Kluyveromyces lactis: one gene and its partners. The protein of the gene in region 1 interacts with the protein of each later gene in a pairwise test. Links are inferred from orthologs where the notes say so. Each region holds a gene or a part of one and is shown in the gene's direction. Other genes may lie near its edges.

The links.
Region 2: the proteins of PAT1 (region 1) and LSM5 interact in binary tests that used the Saccharomyces cerevisiae proteins (3 or more experiments, as listed by UniProt). The link is inferred for Kluyveromyces lactis from reciprocal best matches to the Saccharomyces cerevisiae genes PAT1 and LSM5.
Region 3: the proteins of PAT1 (region 1) and LSM6 interact in binary tests that used the Saccharomyces cerevisiae proteins (3 or more experiments, as listed by UniProt). The link is inferred for Kluyveromyces lactis from reciprocal best matches to the Saccharomyces cerevisiae genes PAT1 and LSM6.
Region 4: the proteins of PAT1 (region 1) and LSM8 interact in a two-hybrid assay, tested with the Saccharomyces cerevisiae proteins (2 studies listed by BioGRID). The link is inferred for Kluyveromyces lactis from reciprocal best matches to the Saccharomyces cerevisiae genes PAT1 and LSM8.
Region 5: the proteins of PAT1 (region 1) and NAM7 interact in a two-hybrid assay, tested with the Saccharomyces cerevisiae proteins (2 studies listed by BioGRID, with this or other methods). The link is inferred for Kluyveromyces lactis from reciprocal best matches to the Saccharomyces cerevisiae genes PAT1 and NAM7.
Region 6: the proteins of PAT1 (region 1) and LSM1 interact in binary tests that used the Saccharomyces cerevisiae proteins (3 or more experiments, as listed by UniProt). The link is inferred for Kluyveromyces lactis from reciprocal best matches to the Saccharomyces cerevisiae genes PAT1 and LSM1.
Region 7: the proteins of PAT1 (region 1) and SCM3 interact in a two-hybrid assay, tested with the Saccharomyces cerevisiae proteins (2 studies listed by BioGRID). The link is inferred for Kluyveromyces lactis from reciprocal best matches to the Saccharomyces cerevisiae genes PAT1 and SCM3.

The regions. Positions count from the first base shown.
Region 1 is NC_006042.1:2,529,516-2,533,747, forward strand, and holds PAT1 (deadenylation-dependent mRNA-decapping factor PAT1), read left to right. Parts: upstream 1-1,432; coding exon 1,433-4,045; downstream 4,046-4,232. Other genes in the region: RQC2 (Rqc2p), read right to left, coding at 1-713. UniProt on the Saccharomyces cerevisiae protein: Activator of decapping that functions as a general and active mechanism of translational repression and required for P-body formation. First decay factor recruited to mRNA, at a time when the mRNA is still associated with translation factors.
Region 2 is NC_006041.1:902,701-904,771, reverse strand, and holds LSM5 (RNA-binding protein LSM5), read left to right. Parts: upstream 1-1,316; coding exon 1,317-1,571; downstream 1,572-2,071. Other genes in the region: PAA1 (polyamine acetyltransferase), read right to left, coding at 1-404; IPT1 (inositolphosphotransferase), read right to left, coding at 1,815-2,071. UniProt on the Saccharomyces cerevisiae protein: Component of LSm protein complexes, which are involved in RNA processing and may function in a chaperone-like manner. Component of the cytoplasmic LSM1-LSM7 complex which is involved in mRNA degradation by activating the decapping step.
Region 3 is NC_006041.1:232,660-234,660, reverse strand, and holds LSM6 (U4/U6-U5 snRNP complex subunit LSM6), read left to right. Parts: upstream 1-1,258; coding exon 1,259-1,501; downstream 1,502-2,001. Other genes in the region: GTPase-activating protein RGA2, read right to left, coding at 1-144. UniProt on the Saccharomyces cerevisiae protein: Component of LSm protein complexes, which are involved in RNA processing and may function in a chaperone-like manner. Component of the cytoplasmic LSM1-LSM7 complex which is involved in mRNA degradation by activating the decapping step.
Region 4 is NC_006041.1:1,467,258-1,469,230, reverse strand, and holds LSM8 (U4/U6-U5 snRNP complex subunit LSM8), read left to right. Parts: upstream 1-1,182; coding exon 1,183-1,473; downstream 1,474-1,973. Other genes in the region: TDA10 (putative ATP-dependent kinase), read left to right, coding at 1-144; methylthioribulose 1-phosphate dehydratase MDE1, read right to left, coding at 1,512-1,973. UniProt on the Saccharomyces cerevisiae protein: Component of the nuclear LSM2-LSM8 complex, which is involved in spliceosome assembly. The LSM2-LSM8 complex plays a role in the biogenesis of the spliceosomal U4/U6-U5 tri-snRNP complex by accelerating PRP24-mediated annealing of U4/U6 di-snRNA.
Region 5 is NC_006038.1:566,422-570,707, forward strand, and holds the start of NAM7 (ATP-dependent RNA helicase NAM7), read left to right. Parts: upstream 1-1,486; coding exon 1,487-4,286. Other genes in the region: MBR1 (Mbr1p), read left to right, coding at 8-1,003. UniProt on the Saccharomyces cerevisiae protein: RNA-dependent helicase required for nonsense-mediated decay (NMD) of aberrant mRNAs containing premature stop codons and modulates the expression level of normal mRNAs. Also capable of unwinding double-stranded DNA and translocating on single-stranded DNA.
Region 6 is NC_006041.1:1,347,993-1,350,396, forward strand, and holds LSM1 (Lsm1p), read left to right. Parts: upstream 1-1,364; coding exon 1,365-1,904; downstream 1,905-2,404. Other genes in the region: DUF5427 domain-containing protein MTC1, read left to right, coding at 1-289; FMP46 (putative redox protein), read right to left, coding at 358-747; KLLA0_E15181g (uncharacterized protein), read right to left, coding at 2,244-2,404. UniProt on the Saccharomyces cerevisiae protein: Component of the cytoplasmic LSM1-LSM7 complex which is involved in mRNA degradation by activating the decapping step.
Region 7 is NC_006042.1:503,592-505,833, reverse strand, and holds SCM3 (Scm3p), read left to right. Parts: upstream 1-1,139; coding exon 1,140-1,742; downstream 1,743-2,242. Other genes in the region: COA4 (Coa4p), read left to right, coding at 613-867; peptidylprolyl isomerase CPR6, read left to right, coding at 2,081-2,242. UniProt on the Saccharomyces cerevisiae protein: Centromeric protein that plays a central role in the incorporation and maintenance of histone H3-like variant CENPA at centromeres.

The DNA.
Region 1 (4,232 bases):
GAAGATGGATCAATACCAATAGCTTTCAACGAGTTTTGAATCAAATCACTTGATAAATGTGGAGCATGAACAAATAAAAGTTTTTGAATAGACGGAACAGATGCTTTTCCCTTGAGTTTACCTTTTTTAGCCTCTCCGGGCACAATTGTGCTTTTGGCTTTAACGTCGGCTTCTTTCAACCAATCTGCTATTTCATTTTCGAAATATTCCTTAGGATCAGGAACCGTAGTTGAAGTTTGGTTAATTTCTGCAAAGTTGGCCATGTCATAAAATTCACCAACTTTCATCGAATAATCATCGACAACTCTCTGTAGTAAAAGAATTTTTTGGTCAGCATCCAATAAAAGCACATTTCCGGCACTGAAAAATTCTAAAACAAGGTAGTACTTACCATCAGCAAAAGTAAACACAATTATTCTGTCATTTGGGATCTGCTTAACTGCCGTCAATCGTTTTTCTTTCAAATACGATCTCAATTTGGAAACAAACCACGAAGGAGTCGGGGGAATCGGCCTGGTAAAGTCAGTAGTATGAACTCGCAATCCGCAATCAATGACAACGTTTAACTTGGAATCGGGTTTTCCAAACTTTAATAAGAATTGCCTGTTTGAGTCAGCAATGTTATAGATATTTCTTAAGCGAAATCCTACAATTTGATTCTCCAACTCTTTGGATATCAGTTGCAAATCTAACGAACTCAATCTCTGTTTCATTTTCTAGTATCAAATCCAAGATTATAGTTTAGATATTTCGTACTCTCCAAGTTGCAGTTAAGTCCACTTTACCAGTCTGAGTTGATTCTTTTCGAGCACTATACTTGATTCAGATCTTCATACAAATCAGTATTTTCACTGCTAATCAGATTAAAATTATTAGAACTTGGTCACTGCTATTAGATCAGATATCTTTTATTACTTAGGTTTAAGACTAAACTGCTAAGCTGATATATTTTCCAGATAGCTGTACCTAGGATGTTAGTAGTATATGTCATCTTTGTCTATTCGCAATCACTTTATATATGCTGCTAATGAAGGAAAGAAAGACTACGTACGAGTTTGTATTGGAACTTTCTAAACTACCATGTTGAAAAATGTCAAATATTTGAAATCACATGACCTGAATTTCAAATTTTGAACTAGAAATCCTTAATATGTATATCATCTTGCACGGTGAAATTTTTCATCAAACAACAACCCAAAAATGTAATTCACTTAACAAGCAAAGTAGTTTCTATGCTCAAAAATAAGTGATCAGAGATATTCAGAGACCGTTTGTTGGAAGATTGCTTGAACGAAACGCAGGCAGGTAGCGACTTAAATCACATTACTTGTGTTTTTAAGAGAATATAATAGGATTTGTCGACAATTCTGATCTAGAAATCGATTTTTGCCCAATTAGTATAGGAGTCCTTATATTCCTGAATCACTGAACGATGTCATTCTTCGGTTTTGACGCCACGGGCCGAAAACCTCGTGAGAGGAAACAGCAAGGCGAGGAGGATTCTTTAGATTTCGAAGAAACGTATCAAGGCTTGGGTGATTATGAGCCAGAGGAAGATGATTTGCTCAATGATGAAACTTTTGGTACTGGAGCGGATCTGGGTACAGATTTTGATTTTGGTTACGGTAAAGGGGAGCTTGGCGCTGGTTCAGGTTCTGGTAGGGCACCAGCACCAGCTCCTGTTTCTTATGCATCTATTGCAAATGCCAAAATGAACAGACAAGCAGACTGTAAACCTGGTTTCGAACAATCGCTGGACATGCAACCTATGGAATCTTTATGGGGTAACAGCTCCGGTAATCAGCAACAACAGGTGCAACCTCAAGCCCCTACACAATTCCAAGCCCCACCACAGGTTCAACAGCAAGGTGCACCTAATGTGGAAGGATTGGCCATTCAATCTTTAGACAGACAACAACAGATGGCTATGCCGCCTCAACCTGGATTCTATGGTATGCAACCTCCGCAGAACCCTGGCTACGGCTTTATTCCACAAGGGTTCCCTCAAGGTCAATACCAGCAATTCCCTGGGCAAAATATTCCCCCTGTTATCCCTAATCAATTCGGTAATGCCGGATTTCCTAATCAACCTGTTAACCCTCAGGAACAATTCCAACAAGTACCACCGATAATGTACAATCAAACACAAGGAAACATTGCACATCATATGCAACATCCGCAGATGGCTATGCCACCAATGCAAAATCAACCTCCTGTTCAGCCCCAGCAGCCCCACCAACAGCAGTTACCTCCCCAATACTTGCCTCAACAACACCAACAAGATCAGCAGCACCAACAACAACACCAACAGCAACAAGTGTTCCAACAGCCTCACTCCGTTGACACTGCTGCTAGAACCCAAGCTGTCCGTTCTACTCAAGATTATGAGCATTCTAACTCTCCAACACCTGTGCCAACAGAATCAGAGCAGGTGCCAACTCCACCTCATACACCTAGAGAGTATCGCCGTGGTCCAAGGAGGTTTGGCACCCAAGATCCTTTGACTGATGAAGAATTGAGACGTCTTCAAATCAGACAATCGAAGGTTGACAAAATTCTCAGACACTCTGGTGTAATGACTCCAAGAGACAAGGATTTTATCACCAGGTATCAGTTATCTCAAATTGTCACTGATGATCCCTACAATGAGGATTTCTACTTCCAAGTTTATAAAATCATTCAAAGGGGTGTCACTCCATCTGAATCTAATAAGGATTCTATTGCTAAAGCATATTTAGAGCACTCGGGTCACAGATTAGGAGGTCGTTACAAGAGAACTGACGTCGCGTTACAGAGAATGCAATCTCAGGTCGAGAAGGCTGTTACCGTTGCGAAAGAAAGACCACAGAAAAGTAAGGGTGGGTTGGATAATGCCAAAGAGGGTGTCTTGGGTAAAATCTCAGCTACTAGGAACTCAAAAGCTCCAAGAAAGCAATTACAAATCCCAACTCACAAAGAGGATTCTCCAGCGTTGTCTTCTCAATCAAGCTCAGCCCTAGATGAGGTGTCTGAATCTTTGCAAGGCGTGGATATCAATGCCAAAAGAAGAAGATCATCTTATGCTTTGAGTTCTTCAGTGGACCATCGTACAGTTTTATCCCGTTCTGGTGGCCGTAAGTTCATTTTATCATTGATTGAAACTGTTTACGAAGAAGTGCTTGAACTAGAAGCTCAATTGAGATCCGGTCAACAGCCGGACAGTTCAAAATTATGGGAGGCGCTACACGTTGAGGACCACGGTTTTGACGTTTCTCCCTTCATTTCCATCTTATCTTTCGACAAAGGTATCAAGATTATGCCACGTATTATGAATTTCTTGTCAAGAGAAGAGAAGATTAAGCTTTTCAACTGCTTCTTCAAGGAACTTTCTCATTTGAATGTCATTGTCATATCATCGTACAAGACTACTCCACTTCCTACTAAAGATCAACTGAAGAAGATGGAATTGTTCCAATCTGTGTTTTTGAAGATCATTGTTTCGTTCTTATCCAGTTCAGCAGAGTTTTTGGAGGTAATGAGTCTACTAATAAATGTCATTCAGAATAATAACGTTTCTTTCATCACCACATCGCGTATCGGTTTGAATTTGATTACCGTGCTCATTTCACGTGCTGCTTTGATGAAACAAGATGTTAGCAGGGGCAAACTGTTGTCTTCTGTGGAAGTATCCACTTGGAGTGAAGTCTATGATAGGCTATTTACTTCTTTAGAAACAAAATTGACTGCAATTTTCCCAACACCTGAATATATGCAACACGCCATTTCAGTTTATGAACAGGATTCTACTCAGTATGATCAATCTTACATCTGGCAGTTCCTTGCATCGCTTGCTTTGAGCGGAAAATTGAACCATCAACGTATATTGATTGATGAAGTGAGAGACGAAATTTTCGAAGTCATTTCAAAGGCTGAAGAACTAAATGCCCCTTCTCAACAAGACCCTAAACTGGCTTATCAAAGAAACAAGTTCTATCAGGATTTGAACTTGTTCTTGAATGTCATGGGTCTTGTTGCTCGTGATGGTGAAATCACTGAACTGAAGTGATCGATATCGTGCGCCTCCTCTGATCAGCCCCTATCTCGATTGCCACTGTTAACTGTGTGCTACAAATTCGAAATCAAATCTCAAGGAAAAAAATTGCAAAAAAAAGTCAGCTTTATAGTATCTAAGTAATTCTTCTATTTACTATTACAAATGTATCATATTTCCATCTACTAGAACACTTCAATCC
Region 2 (2,071 bases), on another chromosome or scaffold:
TTTTGGATGTAATCTGTCAATAGTAGAGTAGCTAGGTTCTTCTTCTGATGTTGTGGAGCAATGACGACAGAATGCACTCCAATGACAGGAGAAGAATCGTCTTGTGTGAAACTCATGCTTTCGTTGGTAATAAAAGTTAATTCCTTGGTACCGTTTTTTGGGATGGGGATCTTGGTACCAAAGATATGGCCAATCAACTTTTCTCCCAAAATCTCAGTGCCTTTAACGTCTCTAATGAAAAGACCCGAGCTCAATTCGGGGCACATCTTCAATCTGAATTCGATCTTCTCCTTTCCAGCCCTTTCTTCAGGTGGGAAGCCTTGTGCCTCTAGCTCTACTGATGCTTGGCAATCTTCTATCGTTAATGGTCTAATATAAACATGCAGTGGCAATGACGATGACATAGTGAAAATTCTTTTCTGATTTTATAATACTTAATAATGATTTCCTAATGTTGTTTCTTCAATTCTAGCCACAATAATACAATTATTTGCTCCTTATTCTAGTTTGCTTCTAAAATCAATCGAACCTTATTATCAACAATGGTATTCAACTCCTAGACCAATTGATTTTATCAACTAGTGTTAGACAGATATGATGTCTTTGTGAACTGCTCAATAACGGAAGTGATAGTCTTGTGAGATGTGTGTCTATATGTATTTGTTATCCTTATCCTTATCATCATATGTAAAACCTTAGTATATATGATTGATATTGCAATTGAATTGTTATTTTGATATTGTACAAAGGAGAAACAACAGTTGCGGCAAGAATATAGAAATTACGCACCACTTGGTAGGAATTTGTGAGTGATAACCAAATCTAAAGTTGACAGAACCTGTAAATACCGGACTGGCAAGTTGAATGGTCACCAGAGGCTTAATCTTGGACCAGAACGCCAATCATCACAGCTGGTGAACAGTGTCTCAGGGACACCTGATGTTCGTGTTTAGTGAGATGTCATGTGACCCGTACCGTCCGTTCCTAGCGAAATTGCATGTTGTTTAAGCCTTTGTAGCCAACAGCACCATCAAGTCGATGCCAATAGATACAACATTCTTGGCCTACCTTGTAGCAGCTTTTAAGGCTTTTTATGGGCTCATTTCTTTACTTTATTGCCTTCTTTCGGCCAACTACGCTTACTTTCACCATACAATCACATATTGAGAGAGCTTTGAAAGTTTCAAGAAATAAGTACCTTTGATCAAAGAGATAAAGCTGTGAGCTGACGACAACTACTGTCTATTAGTATCATTAGACTATTAAAACCTCCTGCTCTACTACTGCATCAACACATATTTATAAAACGACGGGATATGAGTAGTGTTTCAGAGATTTTGCCCCTAGAGGTCATTGACAAAACAATAGGACAGGAAGTGACCATTCTACTTAAAGATTACAGAGAATTCTTTGGTACGCTAGTAGGGTTCGATGATTACGTTAATGTTGTCATTGAAAATGCGGTAGAGTATTTGGAAGACCAGGAGATTAAAAGATTCCAGGGAAAGATGTTATTGACTGGTAACAACATTGCTATGTTGATACCTGGTGGAAAACCTGCTTCAAATTAAACAATGGAACTGCATATTGATGTTCAAAACGAAATCTGTAACATGCATGCTGTTTTTTTCTCTCTCAGATGTTTGGTATTGATATATTGACTAACATCCTTTGTAAGTATATATTATATATTTTATATGTAAAATAATTATCATATTGAAGTGCAGCTTATACAAAAAATGAATCAATGCAAACGTACGAGACGTTTGATATACCGTATCCGAAGGTTTGTTGATTTTTGTTGTTCAACTATATCATGCCAAGGGATCGAAAAACCATTCGATCTTAGTGTTTTCAAAAACTCTCATACCCATAGTTTTTGACTCTTTCATTTTGTCCAAGGTAGGATCAGCCCTGGTTATTAGCCAAGGCTTGATAACTTTTGGTTGCAAGACGTATTTGTTGATCAAGATGTATGAGATTACAGCATAAACGGCACCGACGAATAAATCGTATCTGAAATGGTGATCCAAATATTGGGTTGACCACCATTGTAAGCATACGAAAATCG
Region 3 (2,001 bases), on another chromosome or scaffold:
TAGAGGCTTATCACATTTGTAGCAGGAGAAACAGTGGGTGTGCCATCTATTTCCGCCTAATTCGTACGCATGACCCATAGTAATATGGTTCGTACAACGAACACATACTGACGTCTCAGCAGCCCCCTTCGGAGAGGCAGACATACGGTAATTAGTTTTGCAGATGTAGCACGCTGTGGAGGTGATGGTCTTGTAGTGTGTTCGTTTGTCCCTGGATCAATAACTTTTTGATCTAATGGATCAAAAGCTGAAAAGAAATCTAAGATTAATCTTCGAATCGAAAGTATAATAATAACAGAACACGCACAAAGAGCACGACACACCAAAAAAAAAAAAAAGTTAATAGAGAGATGTATTAGCAGCGGCTTTATACTATGATATTTTCTTGCCACGCACCGTTAGAGAGTACTATATAAGGGAAAAGAATTCCAAGCTGTTCCTCGTGGACGGAGTAAATTCCCTCAATATGAATGTTGAGATCGAAATATAGATACGAGGGTTCAATTAACTCAAGGAATGTTTTGATCGAGAGTGAATGCAGCCCTATCTTGTTAAAATCCGAAACGTTTGAAGCGAGTTGATATAAATAAATCGTGTCTCAATCTTGATTATATATATGTACAATCGGTCCTAACCAGTGCTAAATATGGAAGTCAATTAGATAGGGAAACGTAAACAGCACACCACGTCAATTATATTCTAGCTGAATTGATATAGCATATCTATCAGCTGCAGAGAGCCACTAAGGTAAATTAGTGCTGTCTCTCAACGGTTTCGAAATGTATATATGCATTGAAACAAAATCAGGAACCAGGTTTGAGAATGTTTGAACTATGTGGTGTGCAGGCGTGATTTGGAGTTCAGTTTCTTTGTTTCAAGGTCTTAGAGTTCGAAGATTTTGGCTAAAATTGGAGTCAAAGAATGCTGGTTGTTGTCGGAATGTATCCAGGAAGAACCTTTGACATTTGTTTCCAAGCTAGAGCAATATATTACTATAATCTGCGCTGTTCCCTTCCATTCATTTAATTAATTAATTTATTACTTACTGCATATCACTTAATTCACTTTACCACAGATCACGTGACTAGAACATTCTTTCCCTTTTACTTCAACGTGAACAATGAAAAGTGAACTTTGTTAATATAACGTTGAACTGATGGAGAATGATGAGAGTAGGTTCAGATGCAAGAACTACAGGCTTCTTCATATCTTTATTTCGACGCTACCAAATTTCAAAGGCATAGATTGTTAACACATCATGGAATCTAAGGCAACGGCTTCTGGCTCCTTTTTGGAGAACATCATTGGAAAACCAGTATACGTCAAGCTATTCTCAGGAATATTGTATCAAGGTAAGCTAGAATCAATTGATGGGTTTATGAACGTCACAATGTCACAAGTGTCGGAACATTATGAGGCAGAAGAGAACGGAACTTTGCATAAATATCCTTCTGAAGTATTTCTAAGGGGATCGCAGGTGTTATACATTAGCGAAAAATAGGCTTCGATTGGGCAATAAGATTGACTTCGACCAATGACTTTTGTAAGTCGATATTATAAAGTGTCCTATTTGCTCAGAAGCTCAATAACTACAATAATATGATAATACTAATAATAATTTATATACAAAAGTATATAATTGTATACTATAAAGATGGAACGTTATCAAAGCGGAAAGTGTTAAAAAATACTACGATGCACATATATAAAGCACCAAAGCATACATAAATTTAAATTCTGATTTTATTTTAAAATAATAAGAATATGTAGATATCTAATACAATAATAATATATATTAACCTTGTACCAGTGAGTTATACATTACTCTTTTCAAATTTTTATATCATGATTCTTAAAAGAGAAAATTTATTGTCATATCGTTAGAGAAAAGGAGATCAAAGAGGTTCCTTTCGTAGTTTCTTATTTATTCTGTGATAAAGAAAGCTTTCAGATCAAACAAACCGCGAACCTCATATCATGTTGTAGTTTTTTTTTGAGAAT
Region 4 (1,973 bases), on another chromosome or scaffold:
GCGTTTGTTGATAGATATATGCCTTGTTATGAACTATATTATAAAAACTTCATTGACCCGAACACCGCGTTCGGCAAAACAAATCTTACCATTGCCATCGATGCCGACAGAAATGTGGTCAATCATTTCATTTCGCACTCTTGAACTTCTTCCCAGGGGATTAATACCCTGAGTCGTTGTGTCTGGTTTTGATTTAGGTGTTGAGATTCAGGCGTAGCGATAGATTCATGTCTCAATCTTTTCTCAAGCAACGCCTGCCTCTTGCTAGCTAACCTCATATCTTCATGCAACGTCTGGATGGCATCCGTGAGGTCTTGCATTTGTTGCACGACATTGAACATGACATTTTCATTCATGGTAAATCTGTCCATCCATTCTCGATGTCGTTTATCCATCTGCTTCGTAATATTATCCGCTAAAAGTTGCAAACTTTCACCGCTTGATGCCTTTAATTGATCCAAACGAGACTTTACTTCAGAGACAATCTCCGTTCCCGTTTCTTGATTACCATCTAAATACACACAGAAATAACGGCGACTTCTCGGAGTCTCATCCGTTATTTTCCTAGTTAGTAAAAACTGACCGTAGTGACTCTTACAAAGAATCATTCCTAAAGGGTATCAATCAACGACCAATCCACGTAGATAGAACTAAGTAAATGCCCTTATACTAAGTAGATATTCCTTTCATTGTGCATAGAAACCATACCTTTTCTACTGTCAAGTTCTGCTTGGAATAACTTTCGCGAATGGCTCAATTCATCCACGTTCTCCTTGATAATCTTGAATAGACTCTCAGACGTGTCCCGCAACTGCACAGTCTCCAACTCTAGACGACTAGTCCATTCTAAGATCTGTTTGTCGGCGTCTGGAATCTTTTTAAAGGGAGAAGACCCGTAATCGGTCTCACTTTCATTCTCTTCCGCCATTTCAACCGTGATTCGGAGCTTCTAACAATATTAGCCACAACACAACTCTAGATAACTGCTGTAGAAGCCTGTATACTTCTGTTATGATGTGTGATTCTTCTTTGTTGAAGATGTTGTTGTTATTGATAATAGAGAATCTTCAAATAGAAAACATTACTTTCAAATTATAATAGTAACGAAGAAAAGATAACGATCCATCGGAGCGAAGATATCCACATAACTGCCCCCTTGTTTGCTAGAACAGTGAATGGACAATGAGTGCTCTATTGAAAGATTATTTGGACAAGAAGGTGATGTTGGTCAATGTCGATGGAGACACATACTATGGTGAAATGAAAGGGTTTGATCATGCGGGAAACATGATTCTTTTAAAGGACAGCAAGATATGCATTATACGGAGTAGTGAAGTGGTATTATGTGGGCTGATAGATGATATACCAGAAGAAAAAGAACTGGCAAAACTTCAGAAGTTCCCAGCGTGTAAGAATAAGTTACCGTTTAAAGAAGAAATAGACATTTGGAGTGAGCGATGGGCTAACAGATGAAATATAAATAATGTTATACACAGCTGCTGGTCTCCCTTTCATTGACCGAGTTCTTTCATTTTGAGAGCTACTTCAAAGAGGTAATCGATGGACTCGATGTATATCTTGGCTTTCTTTGGCGTGGGGCCCCAAACGAAGAGTCCATGTCTTTTCACCAGTACCGCACATGCATTTGGATAATCCTTAATCATTTGCTTCAACGCTGGCATGAGATCCTGTTCTTCTGGAGCGTTATCGATGATTGGAATACGTAGGGTATCAACGTTCCTCAAATTGGTACCGTCACCTTTGGGTATCGCCTTGATTTGTTCAATGTCCTTGATGGTAAACTCCTTCTCATATATCATTGAACAAAGCACCGCATTGATAGAGTGCGTGTGTATGACGCACGAGGCACCCAGCGTCTTGAATAGCTCCAGGAATAACGGTGTGCACGCAGAGGGTTTCAATCCAGGCGCACCACATTGATAAGTATCGTCCTGTATATTGTATTTAACAAT
Region 5 (4,286 bases), on another chromosome or scaffold:
TTTTTCCATGTTGGATGAACGTCTGGAATCAGATGAAGGAGTAAAGCCTTTAGTGTGCCATTGTGGTTGTCCCAATGAAAGAGGCTCCATATTTGAGAGATCAGTGCAGGACCCCTTTTGCTCTACTTTTTACAATGATGATCAAGAACCACTCGAGATACACAGTCGTGCAGAAGATTCACTGTATGAATTGAATCCATTGCAGGAGGAAACGCTGTACTATAAGATTCCCAGTGATAATGAAGAAGAGTTTCAGGAGGTAGAGCTTGGAGGGAACCCATTCCGTTCGAATATGATGCGTGGAGATACTTCTTTGAAGGGGAAAATTGGATCACCATCAAAGTGTGGTTGTGTGGTATGTTCGAACTGCCACGGGCTAAGGAAACCTAGATCGAAATCGTCCGCTTCTTACAATGGATACAGTTTCTCGCTAGATTCAAACCCAGTCTCAAGGACAAACAGTATAGTCATTCCATTGTCTAAACAACCCACAAGACAGAGCATTGCTTCTTCTGTTGGATGTCTAGATACAAACAATACCATAAATAATAACAGTCTCTCTTTTGGATCCCCAACTAATATCACTGACGAGGGCGCAATAGATCCTAAATCTTCCAATGGATCAAGATCGTCCATTAGCTTATCTACAAATGCCATTCCAACACACTTATACAGCTTGGAGAGATACGTAAGTTCTGAATTGGATTCAGCGACGGAATCCTTCTTTGATAAGTCAAAACAATTGTCAGACGAAGCTTCAACTCATGGAACAGAAGACACCGTCTCTTCATCGTTGGCAAAAATGTCATTACGAACTTCACCTCAAAGTTCAAATAGCACAATTGCCAATCCAAACACCTACACTAATAGAACCATACCAGAAATACCGTCAGGAACTCAATCAATTAACCAATATTCATCTTCACATCCACCACCATTTTTGGACGCAAGAAAAAGAAGAAAGTCTTTCATTGAACAGGCTTTATCAGAGAGTTTCTCATAATAAAATTCACAACCCCAGTCTTCAACCACCCTCAGTTACCCCAATCATAATCATCAGTATACCCTCATGCATCAAATATATAAACGTAATAGGACATAGACTGTCACCTAATCACTATTTAATTACCCGACTTTTGCATGCATTTGCTGATTCTTTTTTTTTTTTTTCAGTTTGTGTACTTCACATCTCATCTCACATCTCATCAGAAAATGCATCAACTTCCATACATAAAAGTATTTAATCATAATATGCTTCAACAGTTATTATTTCCTATATCACTTTATCTGTATTTTCAAGAAGTTCTGTAAATTGAGCATCTATCAATGTGCTGAGTAACATATTTTGATTTGTGACTCTGACTCATTTCTTGCGAACTTTTTTTTTTGGTTAGTTCGATCTATTCTGTTCAAAGCTATTCTTTGAAGTAGATTGTACACGACTGGTGCCTTTATTATCTCAGTACAATTAGAATCAAGTTTCCTTATGACGATGCGTTTGCCAAATGAACCGTTTGATTCAGATTCGGACTCAAACGAATCTGTTTCTTTGAGAGACGATGACGACAAAAACTTTTTCTACGATACTGATGAGATGCTGGACGAGGAATACTCTGAGTTCCACGGCACTGCTGCTAATACAGATCCTATTGCGGAACATGCTTGTGCATATTGTGGTATTGATAATACTTCATGTGTTGTCAAGTGTAACATTTGCAGCAAATGGTTTTGTAATTCGAAAAATGGTACTAATAGTTCCCATATTGTGAACCATTTAGTTTTATCCCATCATTCTTCAGTTTCATTACATCCAGACTCAGAGCTAGGAGATACTACTTTGGAATGCTACAATTGTGGACGTACTAATGTGTTTGTTCTTGGTTTTGTTCCGGCTAAGAGTGAGGCTGTTGTGGTCTTGTTGTGCAGATTGCCTTGTGCTAAAATGAAGAATGTTAATTGGGATACAGATAACTGGCAACCACTTATTGAAGAAAGGAAGATGCTATCTTGGGTGGCAGAAGAACCAAGTGAAGAAGATCAGTTGAAGGCCAGGATGATTACTCCATCTCAAATTACGAAATTGGAAGCAAGATGGAAATCAAACAAAAACGCTACAATTATGGATATTGATATGGTCGAACAAGATGAAGATATTCCTCCGACTTTGATGAGATACACTGATGCTTATCAGTACCAAAGATCATTTGGTCCTTTGATTCAGTTAGAAGCAGATTATGATAAGCAATTAAAGGAATCACAGGCCTTAGAACACATCTCTGTCACATGGGATTTAGCATTGAACAACAGACATCTAGCTACTTTTGCATTATCCACATTCGAATCTAACGAATTAAAAGTTGCCGTTGGTGATGAGATGATTTTAAAGTATAGTGGTCCACAACATGCAGATTGGACAGGAAAAGGTTTCATCATCCAGCTACCAAACAGTTTCAAAGATGAATTTACTCTTGAATTGAAACCAAGTCAAAAAACTCCACCAACTAATTGTACTACAGGATTTACAGCAGTTTTTGTATGGAGGGGAACTTCTTATATTAGAATGCAAGAAGCGTTAAGAAAATTTGCTGTCACCAAAAAATCATTATCAGGGTTCTTGTATTATAAGATATTGGGCCAAGAGGTTCCAGATGTGGAATTTGATGTAGAATTACCCAAAAGCATTTTTGTGCCTCACTTCACCGAGTTAAACCAATCTCAAAGTAATGCTGTGAAGCATGTTTTACAAAGACCTTTATCATTGATCCAGGGACCTCCTGGTACCGGTAAAACCGTCACTTCAGCTACCATTGTTTATCATTTGTCTAAAATCCACAAACAGCGTGTTTTAGTTTGTGCACCATCTAACGTTGCAGTGGATCATCTTGCTGCCAAGTTGCACAGTATGGGTTTAAAGGTAGTACGATTAACTGCTAAAAGTAGAGAAGATGTGGAGAGCTCAGTGTCCGAGTTAGCATTGCATAACTTGGTCAGCAGGTCTGCAGAAGGTAAACTCAAAAAACTTCTCAATCTTAAGGAAAAAACAGGGGAACTTTCCTCATCGGATACCACGAAATTTGTGAAGTTAGTGAGAAAATCAGAAGCTACCATCATTCAAAAAGCTGATGTTATTTGCTGTACTTGCGTCGGCGCTGGTGATAAAAGATTGGACTATAAGTTCCGCACAGTATTGATCGATGAAAGTACTCAAGCGTCAGAACCTGAATGTTTGATCCCTATCGTCAAGGGAGCCAAACAAGTTGTTCTAGTTGGTGATCATCAGCAACTTGGTCCTGTCATTTTAGATAGAAAAGCTGGTGACGCTGGTTTGAAACAATCTTTGTTTGAAAGATTAATTTCCTTGGGTCACATTCCTATTAGATTGGAAGTCCAATATAGAATGAATCCACAATTAAGCGAATTCCCAAGCAACATGTTCTACGAAGGTAGTTTACAGAATGGTGTCACCATCGAGCAACGTACTATTGCAAGATCTACCTTTCCATGGCCAATTCATACTATCCCTATGATGTTTTGGGCTAACTATGGTCGTGAAGAGATCTCAGGCAATGGTACTTCCTACTTGAACAGAATTGAAGCCATGAACTGTGAAAAGATCATTACAAGACTATTCAAAGATGGTGTCAAACCAGAACAGATTGGTGTTATAACTCCTTATGAGGGGCAGAGAGCATATGTTGTACAATATATGCAAATGAATGGTTCGATGGAAAAATCATTGTACATGGGCGTTGAAGTGGCATCAGTAGATGCTTTCCAAGGTAGAGAAAAAGACTATATTATTTTGTCTTGTGTCCGTGCCAATGAGAGAAACACCATTGGTTTCTTGAGTGACCCACGTCGTCTAAATGTTGCGTTGACTCGTGCTAAATACGGTCTAATAATATTGGGTAACCCAAGGGCACTATCTCGCAATAGCTTATGGAGTCATCTACTACTTCATTTCAGAGAAAAGGGTTGTCTTGTTGAAGGGTTTTTGGATAATTTACAACTCTGCACAGTCCAATTGACGAAACCTTCTAGGGCACCCAGGAAAGCCCCATCCAACAACAGTAGTTATACACAATATGCTGGTCAGAGAGACTTTGACACTCAAAGTTTGGTCTCATTCGGTGGCCAAAACGTCGTTGAAAAATCTTTTATTCCAAACACGGACTTGTCTTCGTTATTGAACCAACAATATTGGAATGGACAGTCTTTTGATACACAATCGCGCTTAAGTGCTACGCATCCTGTTAACCAATACGATAAAGACGCGGTCAATTTTG
Region 6 (2,404 bases), on another chromosome or scaffold:
ATCATCCGAAGCCGATTCTAACACTGTTTTGATCGACGCATCGAGACAAAACAACTTCCATTTCATTGTCATCTTGAAAGACATAAGTAATGATATCTTGCTAATAGTGAGATCCCAAGGTTACCCCTCCAAATGGGCCAAATGGTTACAATCCGATGCACTAAGCGATGAGGAATCCACAGAAAAAATCGACCCAAGTGATTGGGTGAAACCATGGATATCCGAAGGTCTTGATCTAACTTTCGGTATTCTTGCCCAACAATACGTCATAAGCAGAATGAATTTGTGAAGTGTCTTTTACATACATATTTTAAAACCCTAATTACTGTTATTAATCATCATTATTATACTCCCATATCAGTTTTTTGGTAACCATTTCTCTTTCAACGATTGAACCGTCGTGCCTAATACAGCTTTTTCCCAGTCAACCCATAAGCTCGTCTGTTTATTCCAAGACCCATTCTCGACACATTTCTGCAATGGTGACCCAAATAGTGGATCCTCAGCAGCTTTTTTCAAAAGAGATTCCGTCTTAGGAATCTGTTCCATTAAGTCGGGCTTATCAATTTTTGCCAAATATTCCAATTGATCTCTAGTAGGGAATTTCTGGCATATTTCAATGTTGATTTTGTTCTTGTGGTTCGATTTTAATGCCGTTAGAAGATTTTGAGCATGAGATGATTCTAATTTGTGTGTGAATAATGTCACTACGCGAGGTTGAAATTGGATGGTTTTAAACATAGACATGATGAATTGAAGATACTGATTGTCAATGTCCCCCTCTATAAAAAATTCGAACTTTTACTCAGTTAAATACTTCAGTCTAATTAAGTCAGGTCACCCCAGTAATTGTTGCTGCCTTTATATACGCAATACTAAATTAAGACATCTTTGAAATATGTACATTTTGGAAATCATACTATTATCCCTCAAATACGCATGGCAGGGAAACAAAATCCCGGAAAATCCAGCAATCAATACTATGATACGGAGTCATGACGTCCCTACTTAGTATCCGGATTGGCAGCACCTTTCACCTACTTGGAAACAGAATCATCAAGCTAACCATTTGTGCCTTGTCTGTGCAATGACTATGCGGTCCTGTAGCAAAGGTAGTCATCCTATAGTTACCCTGCCTCAACGTTACCATACATTTTTTTTCTTCAATTCGTTTCAGCTAGCTCAACATCAAATGGAATTGCAATGAACTGCCAAAAAGATGAATCGTTGGACGCTTTAACGGCCTATTTATCCTTCAAGTGATACCCAGAACTATCACAATCAGTGTTGAATTTTACAATTCATTATAATCTTTTTTTTTTTTTTCACTTGCTCATTGAAAGAATCAGAGTCTCAAATTACAAATGTCCTCTTCGTCTCCGAATAGCGACAGAGCAAGTTCAGTAGGAGTTACTGAACCAGTGGCTTCCGATGTGGAAGAAAATCGTCCTAAGTCCAAGCTATCAGAAGGTGAAGCAGATTTATATTTGGACCAATACAATTTCACAACTACAGCTGCCATTGTTGGCTCAGTAGACCGCAAGATATTCGTACTATTGCGCGATGGCCGTATGTTCTTCGGTGTACTAAGGACGTTTGATCAATATGCCAACTTAATACTACAGCATACGGTGGAAAGAATATATATCGAGGGTGAGAATAAATATGGTGAATGTGACAGAGGAGTTTTCATGATAAGAGGTGAAAACGTTGTTATGTTGGGCGAAGTAGACATCGATAAGGAGGATGCACCATTGGAATCGATGGAACGTGTTCCATTTGAGGAAGCTGAAAGCTATAAGGAGAAAATGGACGAGGTGAAATACAAGGAGAACACTGCTAAGGGTAAGAGACTAGCGCAGCTTGGTTTAACTACCGATTTCAATAAAGGTGATTTGTATTAAGTATAAGATTATAATTAGTTTAAAAGACAAGCAAAAAAAAATCGTAAAACATACAATTCGAAACTAAACTAAACTAAACTAAATCATTACACAAACTGGAGATCGTGTGGTTTTGAAGGGTATTTATCTTTTGATACTCAATTATATATCACATAGAGATATATATATTCACTTATATATGGTTCGGTACTGTACTATTCATAATAAGTAAAATGCATAGATAGCGCGGCATGGCATTCCAAAAAAAAAAAAAAAAAAATTAATGGGACAATAATCCCCATTTGACATAAAATAGAACCATTATAACGGTCAAAATTAATTCTTAACTAACGGATCAACTCATTTGCCAGCGAGCGTCGTTAATTCTTGATCGTATGTCTTTTGAAATTTGTTATAATTACTGATTTCCAACCTCCCCAGTTGTGATATTAATGATTCGTCCGGCGTATCATTAATTCTTAGCGATCGACTCACTTGCCACATATGTGACAAGGGTGTTT
Region 7 (2,242 bases), about 2.0 Mb from region 1:
CATCATTTATAAAAACTTCAGCAAATTATTTTTTTGCAGTCGAGATCTGGCCCAAAATTAGGCGAGACACCATCCAAAGGGACAACAACATGGACAATGTATACTCGAAAAGGGATCTTACTACCTATGTTACTGTACAATTATTGAGTTTATAGTAGGTATCCCGCACTAAGTACTGAATATGTTGTGTGCCTGGAGATTGCATAATCTTGAAAGCATTTATATCACGTGATCTCCCGGTGCAATTACGCCAACGCAAACCGCAGCCTGGTCGTTTATTACATAGATCAATAGTGTTGTATTGCAGTTTGGGGATCTCTGACGTTTTTTAACACAGCTTTCTTTTCTTATATTAATAGTCATTAAACCTTTTGTAGCTCAATCAAGCTTTTGGAACGGAAAATTAGTTCAGTGGCCATAAAGAACAATCGAGAGCAAGGTTTAATTGGAAAAGTAAAAACACTGAAGTATAAATGGTTAATTTAGTAGAATACAATACAATAAGTGCAATAGTACATGCAACAGTTAATCTTGAAACGACTATCACAGTCTACAGTGATACGTTGACCGAGTCAATAGCAATTATTCTGTCGTAGCTTCATACTTTCAATTATGTCTGCAGGAGAATCAAAATACTACAAGGAAGCATTAGCGGAGTATCAGGATATGGATAAAGAAGATCCTGATGCCTGGGACAAGAGAATATCGAACACAGGCTGTTACGTAGAGAATCTAGCTTTACAACTTTGCCATGCAGAGACTAATGATTGGAGACAGTGTCTTGGTGAAATGAAACTGTTCAAAGATTGTTGGCAATCCAAGGGTAATGACCAGAGAGTGGGGACAGTCGATGCAAAAGAACATTGAGATTTGCATTTACAGGTGTAAAAAGATCCTTCACTGTGAAGCTTTGTCGAAATACTCCACATATTGTATATAGACCCATTTAATTGTATATGCGAATACCCATCTGAATATTTTTAGTCTACGCAGCGCAACATTTAAATTGACATATTTTAGTTAAGGATAATGAATAATCGTTTCAATACAACATTTACACCAGAACATAACGAAATTTAACCAGTTCCCGGACCATAGGTGAAGTTTCCAAGTAGAATTACAGCAATAGTGCTTTATTGATGATTAAAAGACCATCAAATAGTAAGAAGAAGGCTAATCTTCGAAGATTGACAGGTGCATTAAGGGATTTGCTAGGCGAAGAGGAGCCAAAGAAAGAAGAGAATCTAAAACAAATTACTCGAGATGGTGTGGTTTACATCATGTCTAAAGAGAATCGATTAATTCCTAAATTGTCAGACGAAGAGGTTATGGAGCGTCATAAGAAAGCAGACGAGAATATGAAACGCGTATGGTCCCAGATCATACAAAAATATGAAAGTATAGATAATCAAGGTGATGTAATAGATTTACAAACTGGAGAAGTCATAGAAGATAATGGCCATTTACGAAACTTGAGCAACGAAAAATCAGTTCTACATAGTTCGCTACCAGATGGTGGTTCAGTGTCTTATAAAAGTGTTCTGAATGACATTATGGATATTAAAGACTCATCATATAATTCATCGGTTTGGCAAGATCACGAAACTAACGATTCAGAAACAGGGTCCGAGTCTGAATCTGGTCTCGAAGCCGATGGTTTAGATGAGGGATCTGGCTCTGAAGCAGATAACAGTAATGAAGTTTATATGAAGAAGTTAAGACCTAATCCTGAAAGTAATTAGTTCAGGCGCTTCAGATATTCATTTATCACTGTGTTTACGGTTCGTTCATGTATTGATATATTTTTAAAGGTTTTCTAGCAAATTCGAAGCTTTCCATCTTTTATCGATCTAGCCTTGAAAAAACCACAACAAAAGTACAATGAGAACGGCTGAAAAAGAAGTATAAATTGAGTAAAGTCCATTAGTAACCTCTCTTGACAAACCCAGCTTGTATCATTGATCTTAAAGGTAGGTTACGGCAAAGCGGTTGTTATTTTGAAGAAGCAAACTAACCCTGCATTATTTCTACCTACGTGGAGAAAAAAGTACACATACGAGTTAGCTCATTGAATTTGAATATGAGTGAAACAAGACCTAAGACATTTTTCGATATTTCGATTGGGGGCAAACCTGCTGGTCGGATTGTTTTCGAGTTGTATTCTGATGTTGTTCCAAAGACGGCGGAGAATTTCTTAAAACTCTGTGAAGGTAACTCGGGATTTGCCAAATCCAAACCGGAT